2 linked regions of the Caenorhabditis elegans genome follow. The protein of the gene in region 1 purifies or fractionates together with the protein of each later gene. This does not show direct contact. Each region holds a gene or a part of one and is shown in the gene's direction. Other genes may lie near its edges.

Region 1 (7,314 bases):
AAACTGAGTTTTAGTGAGAAAAAAAACGAATTTTTATCAAATTTGGGCGAATTTGGACGTAAATTTTCGATTTTTTCCAGTGAAAAAACTCCAAAAACCTTTGATTTTTGCAGATATTTCGCCGAAACAGGCTCCAATTGATGATATTCAGCAAGTTTTGGCCCTAACTTGCGCTGCAAATGACTTTAGAATTCAACAAAGTATTGGAGAAAGATGGGATTTTGATCGAGCCGCCAAATATTTCATTCAACTCTACAGAAATCGAAAATTCAAGGATTCTTGCCTCGATAATGAGCATTTTTTGTATCGAAATTAGGAGATTTTTCGTTGATTTTTCATGTTTTTTGTTGTTATTTTTAGAAATATTTGATAAAAACTGCATTTTTAATGATTTTTCCCCATTAAAATCGGCAAAAAACGGGATAAAACCTCAATTGTAAGTAAAAAATTTGAATTCCCGGGCTGCTAAACAACACGCGCTGTGGCGTACTAGCGGAGTGTCGTAGTTTTTGGCGGAAAATTGGATTATCGAGTGGTTTTAAGGCTTTTATCTCAATTTTTTGATATATTTTGCATTAAAAAAAGCTTCTGAACACAGAATTTTGGAATTTTGTAAAAAATATAGTGAAAAAAATTTTTACAAAAAATTTTTTTTTTTTGAAAAACATTTATTTTCAATGTAAAAGTACACAAATAATTATTTATACTCCTTAATTTCTGCATTTTTCTCCAAAAAACTCGAAAATTCAGAAATCAATCGATTTTTCGGCAATTCAAATGTGAATTCCTTGAAAGCAGTGCTATAGCCGATTTGTTTGAATCCTAGTTTCTTCTTGAATAGGCTCAGGCTTGGTGTGTTGTCATCGGTAATTTTTACGCAGAATTGCTCGATTTTCAGATTCTGAAAAATTGAAAATTTTCGAAAAAAATATTTTTTTTGCTCATTTTTCAAAACTGTCAAAAACCATGTCAAAATTCTTATTCTCCTCATTTTCAGCTTCAAAATGACCCCCAACACGACCATATTCCGTTCAATTTGACAACCGACACAGCTGATATCGGTGCTACAGTAACCCGCGTGGCGAGACCCAAAATTTTCAAATTGCGCGGAACCAGGACATGATGGGGGTCATTTTGACGCTGAAAGTGTGGAGAACTCGAATTTCAGCTCAAAATCGAGAAATTTTGAAGAATAAAATTTTTCTGAAAAACAAAAAAAAATTCAATTTTTTTTCGAACTAAAATTTTTTTAATTTTCAAAACTGTCAAAAATCATGTTAAAATTCATATTCTCCACGTCACCAGCTTTAAATTGACCCCTACAAGCCTATGTTCCGCGCATTTTTCCCACCGACACAGCTGATATCGGTGCTACAGTAACCCGCGTGGCGAGACCTAAAATTTTCAAACTACGCGGAACCAGTGCGTGATGGGGGGTCATTTTGAAGCTGGGAGTGAGGAGAACTCGAATTTTTATAAAAGAAATTAGTTAGGAGAAATTTGACAAAAAAAATTCTGAAAAAAAAAATTGTTTCAGAATTTTTTTTCAAAATTTTTTTTTCAACTTTTACATCCAACAAAAACTTTTTTTTAGAAGAAAAAAAGTATTTTACCTCATACGCCCACGCAATAATAACCCTCACAGCCTCCTCTCCAATGCCTTTTCCTCTGCCACGTGGCTCCGCTATCATAACCTCTACCTCACCAGTGATGACGTCATCGCTAGGGTTTTCAGTGGACGGTGACGTGGAAATGAACAAATTCACATCGCCAAGCATGTGATCTACCTGAAATTTCGGAAAATTTCCAAAAAAAAAATCGGAAAAAAACACACTTTTCTTTTCGAAAATGCAAAAATTTTTGATAAAAACAGAATTTTTAGTGATTTTTCACATTGAAATCGGCAAAAAAGTGTAAAAAACCCCAATTTTAAGTCAAAAATTTGAATTCGCGGGTGACCAGCGCTAAACAACACGCGCTGTGGCGTACTAGGAGTGTCGTAGTTTTTGGCGGAAAAGTCGATTTTCGAGTGGTTATAATGCTATTTTCCCAATTTTTTGGTCTATTTTTAATTCAAAACGGTTCTGAGCCCGTGAATTTCAAATTTTTGGAGGCAAAAACTTGAAAAAAACGGGGTTTTCCTGAAAAATCCCTACTTCTTCTCCACTTTCATTCATTTCAAGAACGATAAACGTTAGTTTATCCTCATCATTTCGCCAAGTTTTCTGCATTTCATATTCCTCATCCAACGACAATTGTTCAGAGCCGGTGAGTCGGCGAATCTCCTCGTTTTCCATCCATTTGTGGTATTTTGCAACGTGGCACGGCTCGTACGGCACTAAAATGCACTTTTTTGCGACGATTTTCACGTTGGAATTGAGTTTCATTGCCTGGAATATCGAAAAATGCGAGAAATTCGAGGAAAATCATGTAAAAACGCCGGAAAATGAAAAAAATTATATAAATTCCCGTGGCCGCGGCCTAGAAATCCCAACTGTTTCTCACTGGAGCGCGCTTGCTCGCTCCACGGGCAAATTTGTTTTCAGCCATTTTTAGTGATTTTCCTCTGAAAATCCGTGGTTTTTCACGATTTTTTCGCTTAAAATATTGAAAAATCATGAATTTGTATGCGAAAATCCATTAAAAACCTATTTTTCACCTCAAAAACCTCGATTTTCAGGTCGAATTGAGCCATGCTCGGAAGAACGTGCCAAAAGCTTCAGGCAGCCGCGCCGATTGTGAGTTATTAGTGGAAAATTGTCAATTTCGACTGAAAAAGCTGGAAAAGTCGTGGAAAATCAATCAAAATCGCTGAAATTTTTTTTTCTGCGAAAAAATCCCGATTTTTGCCAGATTTTCACCAATTTCCGCGAAAAATCACTGAAAAAAATTTCAAAATTTCCAGCAATCATCGATTCGTGGAAAAGCACGTGGCGTCGTTGTTCAAAGCTATTCTGCAGACGTTTTGCCGTACAAAGGGCAGCCAGCAGGCACAAAGTCGAATCGTGTGAAGCTTGAAGCCGGAAAAACGTATCATTGGTGCTCATGCGGGTTGAGCATCACTCAGGTGCTTATTTTCGAGCATTTTCTCATGGAAATCGTCGAAAAACAGCTAAAATGCCGAAAAAATCGCGGAAAATTGATAAAATTTAGCTATTTTAGGCTTAAAATGGCGCCTATGTGCCTTTAAAGTCGTGATGAAACCCAAAATTTTGTTAAACGTGAATGCTAGTGAAAAAATTACAAAAAAAGCTCATTTTTGCTCAAATTTTAATCAATATTCTAGAAAAATCCAACATTTTTCGAAAATTACCCTAATTTTCCCGGAAAAAGCTCAGACGGTCTATTTTTGTTACGAAAAACGCTGGAAATAAAGATTTTTTGCGATTTTCTGCTCAAAAATTTGGTTATTGCAGCTATAATTAACGAATTTTGCCCTAAAATTAGAATTCCGGTCATTTTTCGCGTTTAAATATTTTTAATCACATTTCTAGTGATTTTGCCCAAATTTTCAGTTAAAAATTAAGTTTTTCACTCATTTTTACCCCTAGAAATTGGTTTTTTCGCTCAAAATAGATTGGCGGCCTAACTTTTGGGATTTCTAGGCCACCAATCTGAAAACGAAAAATCTTCTAAAAATCGATAATTCCCCTGTGACTTGTGCGTTTCTCAGATTTCTGGCATAAATACTGTGTTTATTCACATTTTCAGTCTTAAATTGGCTGAAAATGTGAATAAATACCGTATTTCTGCCAACAATTTGGCAATAGAGCACATTTGTCACTCGGACATGCGGAAGCTATGCCCAAATTTTCAATGATTTTCACACATTTTCACACATTTTCAGTACAAAATTCGAGTTCTCCATCACATTTTCCCCCCCTAACCCGATTTTCAGTCAATTTAGACTAATTGTCGTAAAGTTCGGTGCCAAGTACGCAAGGCACTCGGTGTTTGCGTACTTTTGGGACTACCGTACCCCTCGAAATTCAAATTTAAATCTAGAGACCCAGAAAAAGGGTGCTAGGCGTGTGAAATTCGACGACGATTTTAACACTGAAAAATGCCTTAAAAAACCGGAAAATTCCTGAAAAATCCAAAAATTTTTTGCAGCCATTCTGCGACGGAACCCACAAAACGCCCGGATTAACCAACGTTCGCCCCGTCAGTTTTCAAGTTGAAAAAACTGGAATTTATCCAATGTGTGACTGCAAACAGACTGGAACTCGACCAATTTGCGATGGAAAACACGCTGATGTACGGGGAAAATGGGGAAAATTTCGAAGATTTTCACCTAAAAATCGAATTTCTCGCAAAATTTGAGATAAAAACTGGAAAAATCCCATTTTAATGAAATTTGGCTCAAAATTATGCAAATTCTGCTTGTTTTGACCAAAAAAATCCAATTTTTAAATAAATTCGTCAGAAAATCAATTTTCCGCCAAAAAACCCATGAAACTTCAAGAAAATTCAATTTTCCACAAAATTCGCCACTAAAATCATGAAATTTCAGGATTTTTGACCTAAAAATGGCAATTTTTCAAAAAAAAAAATCGTGATTTGCCACAAAATTTCAGTCAAAATCCAATTTTTAGCTCAAAAATTATGGAATTTAACGGAAGAGTCCAATAAATTCATGAAAAACTAAATTTTTGGCTTAAAAAATCGATTTTTCACTCACATTTGCTCAAAAATCATGAAATTTCCACATTTTCGACCTAAAAACGGCATAAAATGCCAATTTCCAGCCAAAAGCCAATTTTTAGCTGAAAAAATTGTGAATTTTACCAAGAAAATCATTAAATTCATGAAAAACTGAGTTTTTGGCTCAAAATTATCGATTTTCACTTACTTTGTCCCAAAAATCATGAAATTTCCAGATTTTTCACTTAAAAATGTCATTTTTCAGCCAAAAAGCCACTTTTTTGCTCAAAAATTGTCAATTTAACGGAAAATATCATAAAATTCATGAAAAATTGATTTTTCAGCTTAAAAATGTCGATTTCTTACTAATTTTATCTCAAAAACCACGAAATTTTCAGATTTTTAACGTAAAAACGTCATTTTTCAACCAAAATCCAGAATTTTAGCTCAAAAATTGCGAATTTAACGGGAATTATCATAAAATTATAAAAAATTCAATTTTCACTAATTTTGGCTAAAAAATCATGAATTTTTATGATTTTTGTTTTAAAACGCCAATTTTCAGCCAAAAATCCAAATTTTTAGCTCAAAAATTGCGAATTTAACGGGAATTATCATAAAATTTATAAAAAATTCAATTTTCACTAATTTTGGCTGAAAAATCATGAATTTTTATGATTTTTACCCTAAAAACCTCAATTTTCAGCCAAAAATCCCAATTTTTTCAGGTATCCAAAGCTCCACGTGATCTAAACGCTACGAGAATGGTTGCATTCGACGAATCGCCAGTTTACGCAGGAGTTGCTCAAAAATTGGGATATAAGCCGAAAAATGGTGGATTCCAGTAGTCCGGAGACTACGCTGAGACAGCAGCCGAAATCAAAAAAAGTACCAGAAAAACTGAAAGCAGTAGATTTTTTTTTATTGGAAAAAATTTTTTAGGGGTTTTTTCCCGATTTTTAATGTGTGAATAAAGTAATTTTTAAGTGAAAAATCGATTTTTCTGGTGCAAAGAAATCGATAATTTCGGAAAAAATCGATTTTATTACCGGAAAGTCGATAATTTTCGATTTTTTCGGTGTTTGCGTACTTTTCGAGGTACAGTACCCCCCCTAATTTTCAGGAAAATCGATTTTTTTTTCGACTAAAAATCGATAATTTTTGGCAATTATCGATTTTTGAACAGAAAAAAACACGAAAATTTTTGGAATTTCCAGGGTTTTGCGTACTTTTCAAGGTACAGTCCCCCCTAGAAGTTCATATTTTTTAATTTCCCGGGTTACTGTAGCTGCTGGAAAAGTACGCAAACACTGAGAAATAATCCAAAAATTATCGATTTTTCGGTTCAAAAATCGATAATTTCGGAAAATATCGATTTTAGAAACGAAAAAACAAAAATTTCCAATATTTTCAGGTTTTGAACTGCAAAAATTCAACTTTATCGTATTTTGCGTAGTACTTTTGGGGCTACAGTAACCCCCGGGAAATTTGAAAATTCGAATTTTCGAGTTCTGAACTTTAAAAATATGCGAAAAATGGAATATTTGTATTGGTTTTCTGAAAAATTTCGATTTTTGTACTGAAAAAACCGAAAATTTGGCAATATTTCGGTGTTTGCGTACTTTCGGAGCTACAGTACCCCCTAGAATATCAGAATTTCAAAAATATTGATTTTTCGACCGAAAATTCAATTTTTTTTCAATTTTCGGGTTACTGTAGATTGAAAAGTACGCAAACACCGAGAAATTACAAAAATTATCGATTTTTGTACCGAAAAATGAAACGTTTTGGAATTTTCGGTGCTCGCGTACTGTTCCAGCTACAGTAACCGGAAAATTTTAGAAATTTCCGGAAAAGTGGTTCAAATCTGTTGAAAATCTTTTTTTCGGATCAAAAATCGATAATTTTTAGATTTTTCGGTGTTTGCGTACTTTTGGAGCTACAGTAACCCGAAAAATTCGAACTTTTCGCATAAAAAATCGATAATTTGTGAAATTATCGATCTTTGTACCGAAAAATTTGAAATTTTCCAATTTTTCACATTTTAAACTGCAAAAATTCAAATTAATCGTATTTTGCGTACTTTTGGGGCTACAGTAACCCCCGGGAAATTTGAAAATTCGAAGTTCTGAACTTTAAAAAATGCGAAAAATGGAATTTTTGTATTGGTTTTCTGAAAAAACTACGATTTTTGTGCCGAAAAATCGAAAAGTGGGCAATTTTTCGGTGTTTGCGTACTTTTCGAGCTACAGTAACCCGAAGAATTTGGAGTTTCCTAAAAAAAACCGAATTTTTCGTATCAAAAAATCGATAATTTGAGAAATTTTGCAAATAATTGATTTTTGAACTGAAAAATTCGAAAATTTCTCATTTTTCCAGACTTTTGGGGGGCTACAGTAACCTGAAAATTCGAATTTTTCAGAAAATTTCGAAAAAAAAAATTTTTTTTTTGGTTTTTTTCTGCAAAAATATTGATTTTTTCGGAAAATTTTTTAGTTTTTTCAGTTTTTCATCAATATTTCAACCAACAACACACACTTAAAAAATCAATAATAAATAAAATTTTAAAAAATTCGAATTAATAATCATCGTCAGCGGCGGCGGAGGTGGCAGCAGGACCCCTCATTCTCTTCTCGGCGAGCTCTCCTTCGGTGCCAAATTCGTAATAGT
Region 2 (6,919 bases), on another chromosome or scaffold:
TAGCATTTTTGAGCAAATTTTGAGTTTGTTAGTGCATGTTTAGAGCATTTTAGAGGAAGTTTCGAGTTTTTTGAGCAAATTTCGAGCTTTTTAGAGCAAATCTTAAACATTTTTGAGCAAATTTCGAGCATTTTCGAACTAATTTCGAAAAATTTGAAGCAAATTTTGAGCAGTTATGCACAAAGAGGCGCCAGTTCACAATAATAGGTGAATATGACCGAATTTCGCGAAAAAACCGCTCAAAAATTCGAAAAAATGGGTCTTTTTTCGAAATTTTAACTTAAAAATCGATTTTCTCACGTTTTTTCTCATTTTTTATCGTTTAAACTACATAAAAATGCATTTTAGGCCAATTTACGACGTAAAAAGCCGTTTTCTATGTGAAAAAGTGTTAGAAAATCCAATTTTAAAGTTAAAATTTGAAAAAAAAACGAAAAAAAGAAACCTAAGTCTGAAGAAAGGCCCATTTTTTTTTGCAATTTCCCAAAATTTCTAATTTTTTTCCAGATCCTCCACCCCCGCAACCCATCTGGAAATGGAAGACACCGCTTCCTACTCGGTCTCCAACAATGACGTCACTTTTGCGCGAAAAAAGAACTACGGAGCCGAATCTTCAAGCGATACTCGTCCACTTTTACAGCTCCGTGACGCCGATAACGAGGAGAATAAATATAAACGGCGCCCGACGATGGATTGGATGCGCGGGCTCTGGAGAGCAAAACATGGCGGCTCCGGGGTCCCACAGGAACGGGCTTCCGCGAAAAAAATCGCGCTTTTCGTGATTTTCCTGGCCGTTTTGGCTTTGATTACGGTTGGATTTTAAAAAGCGACTTTTATAGACTCAAAAACGCCAAAAAAATATTTTTTCCCTGAAAAAATGGCCTAATTTTAGCTAAAATACATCAATTTCGCCGACTTTTCCGTGTTGCATCTGTCGGAAATTCGCTTTTATTTGATTTTATCACAGTTTATTTTCAATTTTTATCGTTTTTCTCACGTTTTTTTCGTTATTTAGTGTACATTTGAAGCATATAAACCGAAAACGACGTGAGGGCGGAGCCTAAACCGCAATCCTGCGGCGCGATGTTTCGCAACTCCACCGCGCGACTATTTTTTACAAGTTTTTAAGTTTTTTTTCGCATTTTTCGAATAAAATTTCCAGTATATCGTGATTTTTTCGAGATATTTCGATAAAATCTCATGAAAAAAAAATTTCGACTGACAAAAAAACAGCGCGGCGGAGTTGCGAAATCGCGCGCCGCAGAATTGCGGTCCAGACCCCGCCCACAATTTTTTGCGCTCAACGTCTGCCGTGTGGCTTAAAATGTACATTAAATAGCGAAAAAATGTGTAATAAACAATAAAAATATAAAATAAACGATGAAATTTCATGAAAATAAAATATAAGTCAATTTCCGACCGCTGCGACACGGAAAAGTCGGCGAAATTGGTGTATTTTAGCTAAAATTGAGCGATTTTGAGTATTTTTAAGCGAATTTTGAGCTTTTTGAGCAAATTTTGAGTGTTTTTAATCAAATTTCGCAAATTTTGAGTCATTTTGATCAAATTTTAAGGCTTTTTGAGCAAATTTATTGTCTTTTTGAGCAATTTTTTGAGTATTTTAGAGCAATTTTTGAGTATTTTTGAAGGAAATGTTAAGGCTTTTTGATCAAAGTTTGACTTTTTTTGAGTGAATTTTGAGTATTTTTGAGCGAATTTTATGGCTTTTTAAGCAAATTTTGAGTGTTTATGAGTCTTATCAAGCAAATTTAGATTCTAACTTCATTTAATTCCAAATAAATTGTATTTTTCCAGATTATAATGGTGATGAAGCGTGCCGGATACAGCGGCGAGCACTCATCGGACCCCCTTTTCGATCCAATGGCCAATCCGAATATTCGCGTCGCCGTCGAAGATTCTCGTCTTCCACACGTCTAAAAAATTTTTTTTTTTGAAAAAAATGTGCATATCCTTCCCTTTCTGTGTAATATTCAATGTCTACTCATTCCCCAACGAAAAAAAAAGTTTTTCGAAAAATTTTTTATTTTTACTTTCGCCTGCTAATGATGCTAACAAACGGGATTTTTTCTGATTTTTTTCGATTTTTTTCGCTAAAAACTAGCTAAAACTAGCTAAAACTTGGTTGTAATTAATTATTAATTATTTATTCTTTTTTTTTGCCCTATTTCTTGTATATTCGGTGGTTTAAATGGTATTTATTGATTTTTTTTCCTCTAAAAATTGAAATTCGGTTAATTTTCTACCGAGATTTATATTTATTTTCTCTCAATTTTTCGGAAAAAATTTCAGGAAGTAATTGCAATTTCAGAGCACCATGCATCGCGTCGGTGGACAAATTGTCCGCGGAGTGTCGAAGGCTCAACAGAAGAGATCGCTTTCGGTGGCGGCTCCGGCTCCACCGAAAAAGGTGAAAAAACTGGAATTTTCGGCGGAAAAATTGAAGAAAAATGGATTTGGCAAAAAAATAACGAATTAACTAGCGAGAAATTCAAAAAAAAAGCTTAATTTCATCTACAATCTCCAATTTTCCATCATTTTCCATTTAAAATTAGTGCCAGAATATAGAAAATCGCTCGATTTATCGGAAAATCACTTTGATTTTAGCTGAAATGTTGGAGAAAGCGCTCAAAAAGACAGTTTTGAGCTTTTTCTCAACTGTTTCATCCGAAATTAATGTGATTTTCTCGATGAATCGAGTGATTTTCTATATTTTGGCACTAATTATTAATTGAAAATTTTACAAAATACATGGTGCAATGATGTTTTACTAAAATCAAAAATGTTTTCGTTTTTCAATTAAAAAAATCGAAAAATTCCGTTTTTCGGTTCGAAAAATCAAAAATTTTTAGATTTTTCCTTTAAAAAACGGAAAATTTAGTTTTTTTAATTTCCGAAAAAAGAACAAATCGAAAAAGTACGTTATTTAATTTAAACAAAAATCTAAATTTCTTCGTTTTTCAATTGAAAAAAAAATCGTTATTTCCTGTAAAAAAATCAAAAATTTAGTTTTTCGGTTCAAAAATCGGAATTTTTTCGATTTTTCCTGTAAACATCGAATTTTTTTTTAAATGCTCGATTTTCTCTGACAATTTTTTTTACAAAAAAATAAAAATTATTCGATTTTTCCTGTAAAAAATCTAATTTTTTTTTTCAATTAAAATGATCGAAACATTTCGTTTTTAAATTTATCAACAAAAAAAACATAAAATGAAAAAAGCACGTTTTTCAATTAAAAAAAAATCGAAAAATTACGTTTTTCAATTTTAAAAAATCTAATTTTCCTGTAAAAAATCTAAAAATTTAGCTTTCAGTTCAAAAAATCAGAATTTTTTCGATGATTTTTCCTGTAAAAAATCGAAAATTCGTTTTTTTTTCAATTTTTAAAAATATATCGTAAATATATATTTTTCGATTTTCCGGAACCTAAAAACCCAACATTTTTTTCAATTAAAAAAAAAAAAAAACGAAACAAATTTCTTCCATTTTCCGAAAACAAAAAACTTAAAAAAAAAATTTTTTTTCGATTTTCAAATAAAAAAAATCGAAATTTTTCGATTTTCCCTGTAAAAATCAACAAAAAAACCACTAAAAATCACCTCATTTTCTTCCAGGTCGAAGTCTTCATCGACGACAAAAAAGTGCTCGTCGACCCGGGAATGACGATTCTCCAAGCGTGCGCGCTCGTCGGCGTCGACATCCCACGCTTCTGCTATCACGACCGTCTCTCAATTGCCGGAAACTGCCGAATGTGTCTGGTAGAGGTGGAGAAGTCGGTGAAGCCTGTCGCATCATGTGCGATGCCTGTCATGAACGGAATGAAAGTCAAAACCAACTCGGATTTCGTGAAAAAAGCTCGCGAAGGGGTGATGGAGTTCATGCTCAACAACCATCCACTCGACTGCCCGATTTGTGATCAAGGTGGCGAATGTGATCTACAGGATCAGGCGATGAATTTCGGATCCGATCGTGGGCGGCTTCAGTCGAGATTCGATGGAAAACGGGCTCTCGAGGATAAGAATATCGGGCCGTTGGTGAAAACTGTGATGACTCGATGTATTCAGTGTACTCGATGTGTCCGATTCGCTAATGAAGTGGCCGCTTTTCCGGATTTCGGCACCACCGGACGAGGACAAGATCTTCAAATTGGCACCTACGTCGAGAAATTTTTTGCTTCAGAGCTCTCTGGGAATATTATCGATATTTGTCCGGTCGGAGCTCTTACCAGCAAGCAGTACGCGTTTACGGCCCGGCCCTGGGAGACTAGAAAGACTGAAAGTGTTGATGTGATGGATGCGACCGGATCGAATATTGTGCTTTCGCATCGGACTGGCGAGCTTCTGCGGGTTATTCCGAAAATCAACGATGTACGGAGTTTTGAAACGAATTTTTTGGAAGACATAGCTTTGAAAATTTTGAAGAAGAATCGATATTTTTCGAATGTCGAAAAAAAAATTGTATTTTTGGCCATTTTTCACTTTTTTTGGAGAAAAAATCGATATTTTTCAATTTTCTCTGAAAAAAATCGAAAATTTACAGATTTTTTGAATTTTGATAATTAAAAAGTTGAAAATTGTGTAGTCTAGTTTGGAACAGGGGTGTGCGGCAAATGGAAAAAATTGCCGAGCTCGGCAAATCGGCAATTGCTGGTTTTTCAAAATTTGCCGAGCTCGGCAAATTCGGCAAATCTCTTTTTTCAATATTTGCCGAGCACGGCAAATTCGGCAAATTTGCAGAGCTCGGCAAATTCGGCAAATTCGGCAAATTTGCCGTGCTTAACAAACTCGGAAAAATTTGATATTTTTTATGTTTTGTGGAGCACCAAAACTACTGAATTCTTAACACACATCTGGTTTCTGAATAAGTTCCGCGTAGTATGTCTGTTTAAGCATCAAAATAGCTCAATTTTGTGTCATTTTACTAAATTTTTGGCTAAAAAATCAATAGTTTTATTCAAAATTGTACTGTCAAATTTTTCACGTGTGCGGCAAATTTCGAAATTTGCCGAGCTCGGCAAATTCGGAAAATCTACTTTTTTGAAAATTGCCGAGCTCGGCAAATCGGCAATTGCTGGTTTTTTTAAATTTGCCGAATTCGGCAAGTCGGCAATTTTCGGCAAATCGGCAAATTTGCCGCACACCCCTGGTTTGGAATAAAAAATTGTTCGGCAACATTTTACTTTTTATGAATTTTTAATGCTTTTTGAGCTGTTATCGGTAAAAATCGATTTTTTTTTCAGAGAAAATCAAAAAAAAAATCTAATTTTCTGAAAATAACTTAAAAAGCTTATTTTCGATAAATAAATTCATTTAAAGTAGATATTTGCCGGAAAATTTTTTTCCGAACTATTATACAACTTTCAATTTTTTTTTCCGATTTTTTTCCAGAGAAAATCGAAAAATATCGAATTTCAAAAGAAAAAACATAATTTTCTTCAAAAAAGTGGAAAATTACCAAATTTTCCCAATGCGAAACAGAGCTCAGAAAATTTTCAAACGACTAGACTTTAAAAATGAGCAAAAAACTGATTTTTTATCGATTTTTTCAGAGAAAAAATGTTACTTTTTGTATTTCCGGGGAAAAAAACTATTTTTTTTCAAATTTTCAAATTTAGGTATATAACAATTCGAAAACTAAGAATTTTCGATATTAAAATAAAAAACTTACAATATTCTTCGAAAAAAAGATGAAAAATGGCCACATTTTCAGCTATTTTACGAAAATTAAATTTTTTCCTTGAAATACAGAAAATTTTTTGATTTTTACGAATCCCTGTTTTTTAAGGTGTTGTTTCAAAATTTACCGGAAAATTTCGATTCCGTAGTGCTCCGACAAAAAAAACGAAAAAAAACCGAAAAAATGTCAGAAAAATTCGAAAATGCGAATTTTTTTTTCCGTTTTTTTGCAAAAACAAAAATTGAATCTGGAAAATCGGAAAATTTCACTTTTTCGAGTTGCTACAAATCGAAAAAAAATTTCTTAAAATAAATGCGATTTTTCCGTTAAAAAAAACCAAGAAGCATATAATTTTGGCCCCATTTTTCCTATAATTTTTTGAAGAAAATTATATGTTTTTGCTCATTTTCATAATTTTCGCGAGCTCGATAATTTTCGGATTACCAAAAAATTTTTGATTGCGTAATGATTTCTACTAAAAAAAAAAAACGAAAAATAAATCCGAAAAAACCAAATTTTGCGCCGCAATTTTCGGCCTTTTTTCGACCCCAATTCCCCAATTTTTTCCAGGACATTAACGAAGAATGGATCGGAGATCAGTCGCGTTTCGCAGTGGACGGCCTAAAAGTCCAACGCCTTCTCACACCAATGATCCGCGGTGCCGACGGTCAACTCAAGCCAGCCACCTGGGAAGAGGCTCTTTTCACCGTTGCCGCCAAGCTCCGCGAGACGCCAGCCGAGCAGAAGGCCGCCGTCGCCGGAGGCCTGAATGACGTCGAGTCCCTGGTCGCGCTGAAGGATCTGTTCAACCGATTCAACAGCGAAAACGTGATGACCGAAGAGGAATTCCCGGATGTTGGTAGCGGTGGCTCGGATCTTCGTTCCAACTACGTCTTCAACGATGGGATCGCCAGTGTCGAGAACGCCGACGCCATCCTTCTCGTCGGAACGAATCCCAGATTCGAGGCGCCGACGCTGAACGCAAGGATCCGTAAATCCTTCCTGTACAGTGATGTTCAGGTCGGAGTGATCGGAGCCGAGACGGAGCTCACCTACGAATACGATTACCTCGGAGCATCTGCAAAAGCTATCGATGAGATCCTTGCCGGGAAGGGAGACTTTGCAAAGATCCTCTCATCTGCCACCACCCCCCTGATCATCGTCGGAGCCCAGGCGTTGAAGGGAGAAGCCGGTGCGGCGCTGCTCGGGAAGCTTCAGCAGCTCG

The links.
Region 2: the proteins of cisd-3.2 (region 1) and nuo-5 fractionate together in Caenorhabditis elegans (co-fractionation; one large-scale study listed by BioGRID). This does not show direct contact.

What each region holds. Positions count from the first base shown.
Region 1 is NC_003281.10:1,537,813-1,545,126, forward strand, and holds cisd-3.2 (Iron-binding zinc finger CDGSH type domain-containing protein), read left to right. Parts: upstream 1-2,680; 5' UTR 2,681-2,693; coding exon 2,694-2,738; intron 2,739-2,905; coding exon 2,906-3,067; intron 3,068-4,113; coding exon 4,114-4,257; intron 4,258-5,372; coding exon 5,373-5,492; 3' UTR 5,493-5,636; downstream 5,637-7,314. Other genes in the region: mtg-1 (CP-type G domain-containing protein), read left to right, coding at 114-316; Y67D2.5 (N-acetyltransferase 9-like protein), read right to left, coding at 698-901, 1,614-1,787, 2,157-2,387; ddx-35 (putative ATP-dependent RNA helicase DHX35 homolog), read right to left, coding at 7,223-7,314.
Region 2 is NC_003283.11:2,696,643-2,703,561, forward strand, and holds the start of nuo-5 (NADH-ubiquinone oxidoreductase 75 kDa subunit, mitochondrial), read left to right. Parts: upstream 1-2,329; 5' UTR 2,330-2,335; coding exon 2,336-2,428; intron 2,429-3,632; coding exon 3,633-4,385; intron 4,386-6,264; coding exon 6,265-6,919. Other genes in the region: Y45G12B.2 (Zinc finger protein-like 1 homolog), read left to right, coding at 508-811, 1,816-1,938.